Arabidopsis thaliana: one gene and its partner. The gene in region 1 interacts genetically with each later gene. Each region holds a gene or a part of one and is shown on either strand. Other genes may lie near its edges.

Region 1 (6,487 bases):
GATTCTGACATTTATCTGCATTATTATCAAAGCAAACAAAACTCTTTATAATCTCATTAACCAAAAAAGCTGTTTCTTTTTAAATCTACATGAATAAAAGTGAGTTTCTCTACCTTCTCTGCATCATAAACATTGTGTAACTGAAACATCATCTGAGAACATGACTCATGAATATCATCTTTCCTATCCGAATTCGTTCCAGCAAGAAATCTTCCATAACCTGATGCACAGTCACTAGTGAACCTCGAAAATCCCCAAATCTTTTTACCTGAAAGAAACCAAAGACATAAAGATTAAATCTTTACACCATTCTAACTAAATCATTCAGCACCAAAGAGACCAAATTTATCACCACTCAACACCAATAAGTAGCCAAATCGAAAAAGAAGAGAAGAGGAAAAAGATGTGTACTTGTGTAATTAGAAGGAACAACAACAAGAAGTCTAATTCGATCTCCAGGTTGAACAACATGAGTTAAAGTCCATAAAAGAGCTGCTTTTGGGATCTCCTTTGAAGCTCTAACAGCAACCATTACTTTCTTCCCCACTACAACACCTCTCTCTTTAAAACCCTTCTGCTTCATTCTCTAGCTAAGATTAAGGAAATCACAAATACAGAAATTGAAAGAACTTCTTCTTCAACCCTTGCTTACATATACTTTTAACACTTCACTCAATCTAAACCCATTTTTCTTCTGAAATGAGAAAGTGGAAGTATCACGCAATCCAAGATGCTTTCTCAAGTGACCCTAGAAGCTAAAAGAAATAAATAGAAAAAAAGTTGAGAAATTAACGCGTGTGTGAGTGTGTGTTAGTAAGTGTGTGAGATTCAATGTCTTTGAAAGACTGAAACTAATATTTTATCTGAGAAACACAAGAACAGATGCACAAAACACAACAGCACAGGAACCAATAGTGTAGTACTCTACTCTCTCTCTCTTAATAGCCAATCCCTAGATCTCTCTCTCTGTTTCTTGCAGAGAAATTTCAAAGCTTTTAGTTTGGGTTTGAAGACTTTAAGCTCCACGAAAATGGTGTGAGCATTGCTTTGCTGTAGAAAACAAGAAAAACTTGCTCATACTTTGTAAAGTGGGGCCAAAAAGCTGATGAAGTAAGTCCGATTTTTGGATTTTCAGCTACTAATTTCTTCGACAAAATCAGAGGAATTTGGTAGAAGATAAAAGCAAATATCCAAACAATTAAAATATAAACAGAGAAAGATGACAAATAAGAAGTATTTTGGATTTGTAGCTCTGTTTGAAGGAAGAGACAATGGTGTGTTATTATTATTATATGATTGGTGGAGTTTCTTTCTTCTTCTTCTTTCTCTCTATTTGTCTCTGTATTTTTTTTTGTATTTTAAATAAATTCCAAGAATAATAAAAAGAATAAAGAAATATTCACAAAGTACTCTGCTTTATTCTAAAGAGAGCAAAAAGAAACCAAGAGAGTTGTGTCAAAGGATGATACTTGATTCTTTTTTTGGTTCAAATTTGTTGATTTTAATTTTTTAGAATTAGTGAAAGAATAAGACTGTTTTCTTTCTTCATGGACAAGTTATGGCCAACTTTCTTCTTTTATAACAAAAGAACCATTATAGAATTGGTTCTCATAATTCATTTCAAAAGAAAAAGAGTAAAAATTAGCTTAGAATGGTTATAATGAAGGAGTTGAACGTTGCACTTGCATGCTTTTCATGTTGCTTTTTATATATTTCAGTGGAGAAAGTGAAAAACAAAAGTTGAGAAAAGATGATTTGTACTTTATTAAAGCATAAAAGGTGCTTCAATAAATCAAAGTCTAGTGATGCAATCGAATATATCTTATGTTATCTTAGAAATTAAACAATTTTGAGATCTTATGATTTAGTAAATATATACTGTTACTTAAGTGAAAAGGGTGAAAACAACATTTTGGACTTAATGGCAGCATGGAAAGTGACACTAATCAGTTTTTTTTTTTCTTTTTTTAATAAAGTGGTATCAGAATTGTTATCTTTAAGTTTTACTTTTTTTTTCGGCTTCGGAAACGGGGTCCTTAGATGGTAGGGGATAGGTGAGCCGCTTGTCGACATTCCATAGACACATTGATTGGCTTATAGCTTCAACGCGGTTAGCATCCTTAGGGCAAGCCATCAAATTAAAACAAGTATATCTCATGAGTTAAGTGTTAAGATAATGACCACATTTGTGAGATGTTGTGGAACATTAGTTCTCCCTATATATAACGGTTGGAGAACTTCCAAAGTGAAATTTGACGCGGATCGTCGACAACCAAATGCCACAATCCGGTGGGTAGAAATACCCGATGAACAGATTTACATATTCAACAACATAAATTAAATGTGTTTTCTTATAAAACATGACAAATATTAATTTGATAAGTATTTGTGTCTTTGACATTACTTTTTTAAAAAAGAGTTATTTTACGCATATTTTGTAAATATTCAATTTATTCTAAAATACTAATGATTAACAAAGGATAGACAAGATTGGTTGAAAACGAATATCACATGACCAATTTCTGGTTCTCATCAATATATTTGGTAATAACATTTGCCAAATCAAGTAAAAGTGTAATAAAAAAATCCCAAAGATAGAAGAAAATTTGACCAATTGAAAAGTTAAGTATTCTCATTAAAGAATGTAGATTCCCTCCCTTATGCTAATTACGGTTGTCAACATTGACTAATGTAGATTAAAAAAAAAAAATCCAACGGTAACTAATAAACCGTACAGAAGAAGCTTCACCGTTCCAACGGTAACTTGAAACTTTTCCTTCGGACAGAATAAAACAAAAATCATCCATTTTGGAAGGATAAACATCCATTTTTGGAGGGGAGAAAAACTTTTCTCATTTTTAACGGTGGTGTCTCTAAATTAACGAGCACTGAGAAAAAAGACCAAGTCCGCTTTAATTTAACGGTCACACTATATCATCGGTTTTATCGAAATGGAATTCGGCGACGGCGTTTCCTTCGCCGTCGTCCCCACTGTCTTCAAAAGAGAAGACTACAAACGAACTAAACACGACACCGTCTTCTCCAAGTGGCAGGTCCTCTGTCTTTCTCTTTCTCGATTTGTAGATTGAGAATTTTCGCTCGATCTTGTGTTTTCTCTGAAACCCATTTCGGAATTCTCAGATTTTCAGTTGAATCGAAAAATCTGATCTTCCATTTCCAGGATTTCAGTGTAAAGATCCCATTTTGAATGCCTAGTGTGTCTGCTTTGTCCCAAATGCATTTTCTCTGGATTTCTGTTAGAATTGGTCGCTAACTATATGTATATCTAATTAGCCTAATTCTGTTTCATTTGCTACTTGAAGTGGTTGGTTTTAGATCTTAGTTTTATCTGATTGTGTAAAGTTTGATGCTGCACAGGTACTTATAGGATCCAACGATTGGGAAGATTTCAAAAACGGAAAAGATGGTGTAGGTAGATACAGAGTCCAGAACTTACCTCGTAAATCTTGTCCGGGTCTGTATGAGCTCGGTGTAGCGGTCATCGGTCAAGAACAATGTCGAAAGCTTGAACCAGATATTGTTCTTGCTTCATATCTAGGACAAGCTGAAAGTGTTAGGTCTAGACTTCAGCGTTATGGAAGATCCGGTGCTCATTTGCGCAATGTTAACAACCTTAACGACTGTGAAACTATTGAATCTCCAGTTAAGGCTGTTACTGGAGGTTTATTTGAAGACATATTTTCGAAAGGAGGCTCGATTTTATACAGATGGGCTCCGGTTAGTAAATACATTTCTTCTTTTCTTCTATATTGGTTTGCTAAGTATACAACTTTGATCTAACTCATGTGATTGTATCAGATGGGATCTAAGAGAGAAGCTGAGGCAACAGAAGGGATGCTCTTGAGCACATTTGACTATGCTTGGAACAAAGGAAGTAACGGGGAGCGAAGGCAGCTTGATTTGCTTAAGAAGCTCGGTGATCGCGAGTTTATGAGCAAGAGAAAGTCCGGTATATCTCGAATGCTGTTTCCTTTTCTTCGGAACCAAGTTGGTATCAGAATAAAAGGAGAGAAGCATGTGCTTAAAGAAGAGAGGAAGCTAACCTGTGATGTTGATGAAGAGAAGAGTAATAATTTCCTCACTTCAATACTCAAACTCACCCGGTCTAGACCTCAACCGGTTTCAGACAGATTTGATGAGGTTGATGGTTCTTGTTCTGATATTGTTTGTGGAGTCTTACTTGAAGATGGTGGCTGTTGCATTAGAAGTCCAGTCAAAGGGAGAAAGAGATGCATAGAGCATAAAGGACAGAGAGTTTGCCGTGTTTCACCCGAAAAACAGACACCGCCAAAGTCCGAGATTTTCACTGGACAAGATCATCACAATCATAAAGACTCTGATGTTGTGTGTGGAGTGATCTTACCTGACATGGAACCTTGCAATAAGAGACCTGTTCCTGGAAGAAAACGATGTGAGGATCATAAAGGCATGAGGATCAATGCTTTTCTTTTTCTTCTTAACCAAACTGACCGTGAGAAAACCGTCAAAGACGAGAAACCTGATCCCGAATCGCATACCGAGTCAATCGAAGAAGAAGCTTTGACTCGCTTCTGTGAAGCTACAACAAAGAATGGGTTACCTTGCACAAGAAGTTCTCCTAAAGGAAGCAAAAGGTGTTGGCAACATAAGGAGAAAACTTCCAGCGATACTTCGCCGGTATATTTTCAGCCAGAGGCAGCAAAAAACGTAGCTTGTGGAGTTAAATTAGGCAATGGATTGATCTGTGAGAGATCTCCGGTAAAAGGACGTAAGAGATGTGAAGAGCATAAGGGAATGAGAATCACCTAACCTCTGCATCACTTGTTTATGTTATTTGTTACCTAACCAGAATTGTTTGTACCAAAACCGTTTTGGTTTCGGTATTGGTTTGCTGAACAATCATCTGTACTGGATGACTCACAATCTCATTTTTTATAAATTTAAAATCAGTTTTGATTAACATCGTTGACTTGCATCTTTGCATTACATTAGATGTTTTTAGATTTAAAAATACATAGACCCGTTTCCCGCCATGCCTCCACTTTGTTACTTGTCCATGATGCGAAAAACTGTAAACGACCCATTTCTTTTTCAACTTCCCTTCGCTTCTTCCATATATCTACGATCGTAATATATCAGAGCTGCCTTCTTTCATTATTTTTCTGTAGCAGAACCGTTTTGTTCTGTTTTATTTTGTTTGACAATGTCGTTTGTTCTATTATCGAAGATGGCGAAGTTGAAGTTTAACCATATACGACACACAATCATTAGCACGCAAAAAAGCACAACCATTATGCCGGGGATAAGTCAGCTCTTGAACAATAGGTCTCTTATCATCTCATCTATTCACAATGTTGTTGCATTTTTATCCTCTGTTTTTTTTCTTACTATTATTGGTCCTTCAGGCTTTAAATTAATGGTCATAATGTATCACCAGATTGATCGGAAAGGAATTCAGTTCCGCCGTCCCCACTATGTTCAAGAGAGAAGACTACAAGCTGACTATACACGACATCGCATTCTCCAAATGGCGGAATCTTATAAGACACAATGATTGGAAAGATTTCAATAATAGAAAAGAAAGGGTCCGTAGATACAGACATGAGGACTTACCCCCTCAACGTTGTACGGGTCTGTATGAGCTCGGTGTAGGCGTCATCGGTCAAGACCAAGGCCAAAACTTTGATCCTGATAATAATGTTCTTGGTGTATATGTCGGACAATGTGTAGACGTAAAATCAAGACTCCAGGATTATGGAAGACGCGGTGGTCATTTGCCCTCGGGTTTATATGAGGACATATTCTCGGAAGGATACTCAGTTTTTTATAGATGGGCACCAGTAAATACATGTCTTCTTATCTTCTCTAGTTGGTCTGCTACGTATACACCTTTGATCCTAACTCATGTGATTGTTTCTCTGCTTTACCGTGATTTATCAGATGGGATCTAATTAAGTAGGAAGCTGCTGCAACAGAAGGGATGCTTTTGAGCACTTTTGATTATGCATGGAACACATGCAGTAATGGGGAACGACGCCATCTTGAGTTACAGAAGCTCGGTGACCCCGAGTTTATGAGCAAGAGAAAGTCACAAGTGCTAGTTCCTTCTATTCGAGACCAAGTTGTTACCATCAAAGTAGAGAAGAGTAATTATACTTTCCTCACTTCAACACTCAAAGTGATGAGACCATTTGGTTAACCGGAGTAAACCTACATCGACTAGGTCAAAGATATGGCTTTTGTTTCTCCTAAATTAATTGGATTGTAACCCACTTATTCACGTTTCAAATTTGTAGTGTTAGTAGTTAATTTGTATAGTTTCTTTTTTTTTTTGATCAAAAATTTGTTACGGAAAAAGTTTGGTAAGAATGTCGGCAGAATCACCACCGTCGATTAACGGAAAGATAAATCTAATCTAACGGTTATTGATAAAGCATAAAACTGACGGCTCCGATTTTATTTTCTAAAAATCACGTTAATCACGCAC
Region 2 (6,411 bases), on another chromosome or scaffold:
GGTTCCTGGCTCGACGGTTAATGTGGTCAAGAATCTGAGAGTTTGCAGCGATTGTCACAATGTGATCAAGTTGATTTCAAAGATTGTTGATAGAGAGTTTGTGGTTAGAGATGCGAAGAGGTTTCACCATTTCAAAGATGGTGGATGTTCCTGTGGAGATTACTGGTGATTAGATATTAGAATTTCGTTTAGATGAGTAATTCTTCTCGTGTTTAATCAGATTTAGTGTAAGAAAATACAATTACGATTTCACAAATCTATTGGTTTTGTTAACCGTTAAACTTGAAAAATATGGTTCTTGGTTTGAAAAGAATGATATACAATAAAATAGTATAAAAGTGTTACATAACACCAAACTCTTGTAGCTCGTCTGGTCTACGATGGACTTGAGTTTGGCATTGAGAGAGAGATAGAGAGATGAAGAAGATGAAGATGATAAAATTAAAAGCAAATGCTTGATCATATGAGGTATTATTAAATATCTCTTCTTTTTTTTAAACCAGTTACATCCCAGAAAATAATATCTTAATTCCTATGACAAAAACTTAAAAAGTCCTATCGGATCTTATTTCGGAAACACAATCGGCTTTTATCTAAAGAATATTACTTTCATATAATATTCTAATTTCACAAGAGATGTTTCATGGTTTAGGGACGAAATTATATGACGATTAAAACAGACATGAATAAAGTTTATAATCCAATAGAGTGGTCTTTAATTTTATCGAGTATTTACTAAAGAAAATAATTTTTTTGCGGTAACTAGGTCTCCTAGATAAGACGGAGTGTTACTTCAGTTCAGTATAAGGTTTTAATCAATTGACAACCTCGAAGTTTAATAGTCCCCGAAAAGTTTAAAGCATGGTATCCTTTATTACTATACTTAGAAGAAGGAATGAGAAATCTTGGGTACCTTGAGGTACAAGATTATTGCAGTAAGATAGCTTTTATAAGGAGATGGTACTACAACTGTCACATTTTGATCTTTGATTAAATATATAGTAACTAACTACCTACTTATCAATTAGTTGAGGTGTTCTAAATTATGTGCTTTTTTTTATTAGTGATAACTAAATTTTCCTACGCAATGTGTGGGATTATATATATAAGATTGATGTAGCTTAATACAAACTTTACTAGCATAAAATGATTTTATCAACATAAATTGTTTCTAAACTTAACATCAAAAAATTTCAATCCTTAATTCTAGTATATATAATGATTAACGTTTGCAAGACAAACAAATAATCTCCAATAAAAAGAAAACTAGTATCATAAATCTTCTTTAAAGGATTAATAATATATTAACGCCGTAACACTAAATAACATTTATTCATCAAATACAACACACCTTCATGACTCACATCTAGCTATGATTTTCATATAAACTGTAATGTTATATTCAACACTTGATAATATATATGCAAATTGCATTTAATTCTTATATATATTATAAGGATATTAAATAGCTGATCACCATCAAGAATACCATGAGCCCATCGATTGATTATCTAGTAGAAGTCATCGAGAGAGATATTCTCAACGGAGCCCAAACCATCGAATGTTCCGAACTTGGAGTAATAATTATTAGTAGTCGTCGTATGTCCACCCAAAAAATCGAGAGGAGTATCGTTGGAGGTAAGAGCCGTCGTGTCGTAGACAAAAGACTCTGTGTTTGTGGTGACATCATCTATGACTGGATAATAGTAAGAACATTTGTTGCTGTTGCTGTTGCTGTTGTTGTTGTTGTTGTTGTTGTGATGATTAAAATCTTGGAGGAGAAGATCGTTAACCACAGTGTTTTCGATCCTTGTTAAGTTTGTGTAAACGTCGTCTTCTTCAAGATTGATTACGTCTACTTCTTCTTCTTCCGATGCTTTTCTTGCTTGTATAACCTAAAGTAAAAATAAATAAATAAAATTGAGCCTAAACATGTAACACGTTTTGTAGAATTTTCTTTTTAGTAGCGTGTAACGTACGTAATTGTTTGAGTAGAGATCTTGGTAAACCATGATGAAGTCACCTAGCTGCAGACCATGAGCATTCACAAAATCGCCTGGAAATAATACCCAGCTCGATCCAATATTTTTAACAATCATTGATTCGATTTTTTATTATCATAAAAAAAAACAAAAACCGGGATTGTCGGTAACTTTACCTGTGTTTTCTAGCACGTACATTCTGCTATTGTTGTTTGGCCAGTACCTAATGATCACAACATTAGGCCAAGACTCAAACATCTATGGTTTCTTCTAACGATCTCATTTACTTTAGCTTAGTCTTAAATGAAATGATGCTATTTTAAAGGTCTTAAGATCGACATGGATACATGAATACTTTCAAAATGATTGATCTACCAAGAATTATCCATGTAGATCTTAAGATCAGATATAACCTATCCGTTATAGATTCGTACTAGCCAATTTTGAAATTCTTGCTAACCAATTTTGTAACTGAATAGTTTGATTCAACTATATAAGCTATGCTTTGTTACATAACATTGATTAGGAGTAAAATGATAAAAGTACCTATACTTGAAGGTCCAAACGTGAAAACCGTCCAAATCTTCCATTCTTATAGGAATCCCTTCCTTGCATTCAAGTGCCGGCAAGTGAGCCTCCGCGGCTTTCTATATGGATCATCATCATTAGTTATCATATCAACACCAACATCATTAATCATCATCATGATCATATATAATCAAAGATCACCTTCGGGAGTATCATACGTCGGAGAGAGCTGACGTCACTGTTCTTGAGTTCCTTTTGGAAGAGGAATCTTAGCTTTCTTGGGTCAATTTTCTGACATCATCACAATATACATTGAATCTTTTTAATAAAACCAATCCAATAGAAAAATATACAAAACTCTAAATCTATTTTTATTTGGATCCTCACAGATCTTATAAAAATAACAAAAAATAGTTTTGAATTAATAATATTTAGAGAGAGAGAGAGAGAGGGAAAATAGTAAAAAAGAGTGAAGAGCTTACACGTGCGGGGAGAGGAGTTGGCACGTGGGAAATAGGAGGCATAGGAGGAGGGAAAGAGAGAAGGTTAAAGGAAGAAGAAGATCGTCTCTGTCTAGGCATCCTTCTCTTCTTCCAGTTAACACCAAGAAGAGGCACAGACGCCGATAACCCATGATGATCATGACCCGACCCGGATCCAAACCCATGATCAACACTTGCCACTAAAGTAGAGGCCTTGGTTTCCACATTTTCATCAACCATCATTTTTCTCTCTCAATTGGTTAACACTGCCTAGTAAAAAGGAAGTGTGGAAGAAAACAGTTCTCTGTGTGAAGGAAAAAAGAACAAATGGTGGATCTCTTTGGGTTTCAGTGATAGAGATAGAGAGAGAAAGAGAAGATAGATAGAGAGAGAAAGAGAGACTGTGGTTTGTGTTGTGTTGTGTGTATGTGTGTTGTGCAGATCGAAACAGAGGCTTAAAATGGACGCTGGGCAATCAGAGATTTGGGTTTACCATTGGTTTTTAATGATTTTTGTTTTACTATTTATGGTAAGGAAGTGACATTTGTATAACCTACATTCATGAATCTAGGGTTTTGGAAGATTAAGATTTTCTAAATCTTGATAAGATTATTATGATGATAGTAACGCAACAAGATCTAATGCCACTAAACTAACACTCAACCATAGTTTAGAGATTAGGTTAGGTTAAAGTTTAGAACCAAGAGCAAAGGGACGAGTGGATTGTGCATGGTGAACAAGTGTAGCAAAAGTTCTGCTTCTTTCCTTTTTTCCAGAATTCAATGGCGTCTTCTTCTCTCTCTCTACCACATTTAACTCTAGTTTTAAAGTCAATTTAACTCTCATTACTTACTGGTCAACATGTGATTTGTATATACGTAGATTCTACGACTTTTTTTTAGGGATAAAGAACATTTTTGCGACCAAGAATAAAGGCTTTTTGTTTCTACAGACTTAGACGATAACTGATTTGGAAGAGAAGTGAAGGATTCATTGTACCTTTGAGATTACTTGACTTAGGTTGAAATAGCACATTTGTCTCATAGCTTAAAGCTAGAATATCAAACTCCCATACGAAAATCGTTACTTGACTTTCATTTAGTAACGCCCGTATCAGAAAAAATTATGGAAAGATGAATGGAACAATATAGTACTCCATTAATTATATTTCAGAAGAAAAAAAAGCGACAAAAGAAATATGTTTTTTTTGTTAAAGTTAAATTATAGAAAATAAAGAAACATGAATTGAATTTTGTAAATTATGCATCTAGTTAAAACTATGGAAATGTGTAATCATTTCGTTAATCTATCAATATTCGACGAATAACAGACGAAAAATGTGTAATGGTATTTATAATTTGTTAGTATATACAACTTAGATTGACACAAATTTATCTATCATCTATATATATTGTTGTCATTGTTACTAACAAATACCATTTATATGCCATATTCTATAATTCGTCGAATGATTGATTATCGACATGATAACACATTTCCATGGGTTTTAACTAGATGCATACTCTTAGAAAATTGCAATTCATGTTTCGTTATTCTTCTATGATTTAACTTTAACAAAAAAACCATACTGTATATGTTTGGTCGATTAATATTTTTCCTGAATTTAATTAATATTTTGTTCGATTCTACTTTCCATTTTTCTTGATAAGGGCGTTACTAAATGATAATCAAGTAACGATTTTGTCAATTTTAGTAATATACTAAAATAATTTTCGACTCTGCACGAATATATTAGGGGAAAGTATGGGTGAGGAAGAATACGTGACGTTAAAACGTTTTTGATATTTTTTGTTTTCTTTGCATGGACAAGTGGCAACTATTCTCTCCAAATTTAATAAAAGATTCTTTCTCTTTTTTTTCATGACTTTAAAACTCTAATGACTAATGAGTTTTCGAAAACAAAAAGAAGATTAAATAGTTACTCATGTTAGTGTACATATGTATAATGAATTTTAGCTTACAACTATAGTGATAGATTGATAGTTCATGATTTTTGAATGAAAACTAGTCAAGCGATATTTGACAACTAATTACAATTTAAAAGTGCATAAAGAAAGAAAAAGAAAAATTCACTCACTAAATTTGGAGAGAATAGTTGCCACTTATCCATGAAACGTTTTTCATTATATCACAAATGACGTATAATTTAGTAAATCGAAGCTATATTTCATTTGATTACTTACTTGACTTTTGTTTTATTAGAAAACTATCTCAGGCCCTAATATAAACTCAATATAATAGATTGCATATTAAATCGGAACTAATTAAACTTTTTCTGGCCAGCCACATAATATAGTTAGATAATTCTTCGACTCTAAATGGATATGTTTTGGAATGGTGTTGGATGGGGAGGATTTAGAAGTTAAAAATATACTTAATTAATTTCAAAGTGGTTAAGAAAAAAAAAAGAGGATTCTCTCATTCATTTTGGAGGGATTGCATACCACTTGTCCATGTATAAAACTGATTTTATGCATTGAAAGTGGCATGTAATCTCTTCAAACTTATGAGAGTATCTCTTATTTTTTTATTTTTTTTTACTCACTTTGAAATTATAAACAAACGACATCTTAGATATGTGTATATTATATAAAAACCATCAAAAATAAATATTGACAAATAACAAGTAATGGGAAGAATAGATTTAATTCTAATTTCAAAGTGTGTAAAGAAATGCTAGTAGTAATTAATAAGTATATATGTACTATAATAGTTATAAGTATATATATTTCAAAGTGTGTAAAGGAATGCTAGTTAATAAGTATATATATACTATAATAGTTCTTCGCTATACTCTACATGTATGTTTCAGGCCAATATACTTTCAATTAGTTTTTATCCATGAATTATATGACCTACCAAAATATAAACATAACTAAAATAACATTAAAAAATATAGTTAGATAATAGTATATGAAATTGAGATATATATAAATATACTTGACTACTATAATATGCACATGTATTAAAAAGAGACGTATTGTATTGATTTTTGTTTTTTTAAGTATTGTTGATCTATGGAAACAGAAACGTGTATCATGATAAAAGATGAGTAACGTCTATTTAACTTTTTTTTTTTTAAACACTTTTTGGTAAAATATATATATATATAACTATTTAAATAATAATATCAAATTATATGAGAAATGAAAACGAATTTCTAAATATAAGAATTTGTTTAATAAGTTTTCAAAAACAAATAAAAAATCTAAATTTCTTAACACTAAAAAGCTGTAACAGATTTCAACTAAAATTTTCAGATCATAAATAAATAAATAAAAATTTAATATTTACCAATTTGTAAATGAATAGTTTGGAGTAAGGAATGAAATACATCAAACTAAATATTTTGATACTATTTTTTTTTCTATTTTTTAACCTTTCTCTACTATTTTTGA

What was found. Genes that interact genetically often act in the same process or in processes that back each other up.
Region 2: of ET2 (region 1) and FUS3, changing one enhances a phenotype caused by changing the other (phenotypic enhancement), as found in Arabidopsis thaliana (one study listed by BioGRID).

The regions. Positions count from the first base shown.
Region 1 is NC_003076.8:22,962,706-22,969,192, reverse strand, and holds ET2 (effector of transcription2), read left to right. Parts: upstream 1-2,794; 5' UTR 2,795-2,951; coding exon 2,952-3,053; intron 3,054-3,378; coding exon 3,379-3,738; intron 3,739-3,819; coding exon 3,820-4,809; 3' UTR 4,810-4,960; downstream 4,961-6,487. Other genes in the region: AT5G56790 (Protein kinase superfamily protein), read right to left, coding at 1-15, 114-268, 412-583; AT5G56770 (transcription repressor-like protein), read left to right, coding at 5,204-5,325, 5,438-5,840, 5,960-6,199. UniProt on the Arabidopsis thaliana protein: Transcriptional regulator involved in the regulation of cell differentiation in meristems. Probably regulates the expression of various KNAT genes involved in the maintenance of the cells in an undifferentiated, merismastic state.
Region 2 is NC_003074.8:9,852,514-9,858,924, forward strand, and holds FUS3 (AP2/B3-like transcriptional factor family protein), read right to left. Parts: upstream 3,700-6,411; 5' UTR 3,236-3,699; coding exon 2,993-3,235; intron 2,802-2,992; coding exon 2,712-2,801; intron 2,630-2,711; coding exon 2,529-2,629; intron 2,206-2,528; coding exon 2,159-2,205; intron 2,057-2,158; coding exon 1,980-2,056; intron 1,896-1,979; coding exon 1,512-1,895; 3' UTR 1,315-1,511; downstream 1-1,314. Other genes in the region: AT3G26782 (Tetratricopeptide repeat (TPR)-like superfamily protein), read left to right, coding at 1-169. UniProt on the Arabidopsis thaliana protein: Transcription regulator involved in gene regulation during late embryogenesis. Its expression to the epidermis is sufficient to control foliar organ identity by regulating positively the synthesis abscisic acid (ABA) and negatively gibberellin production.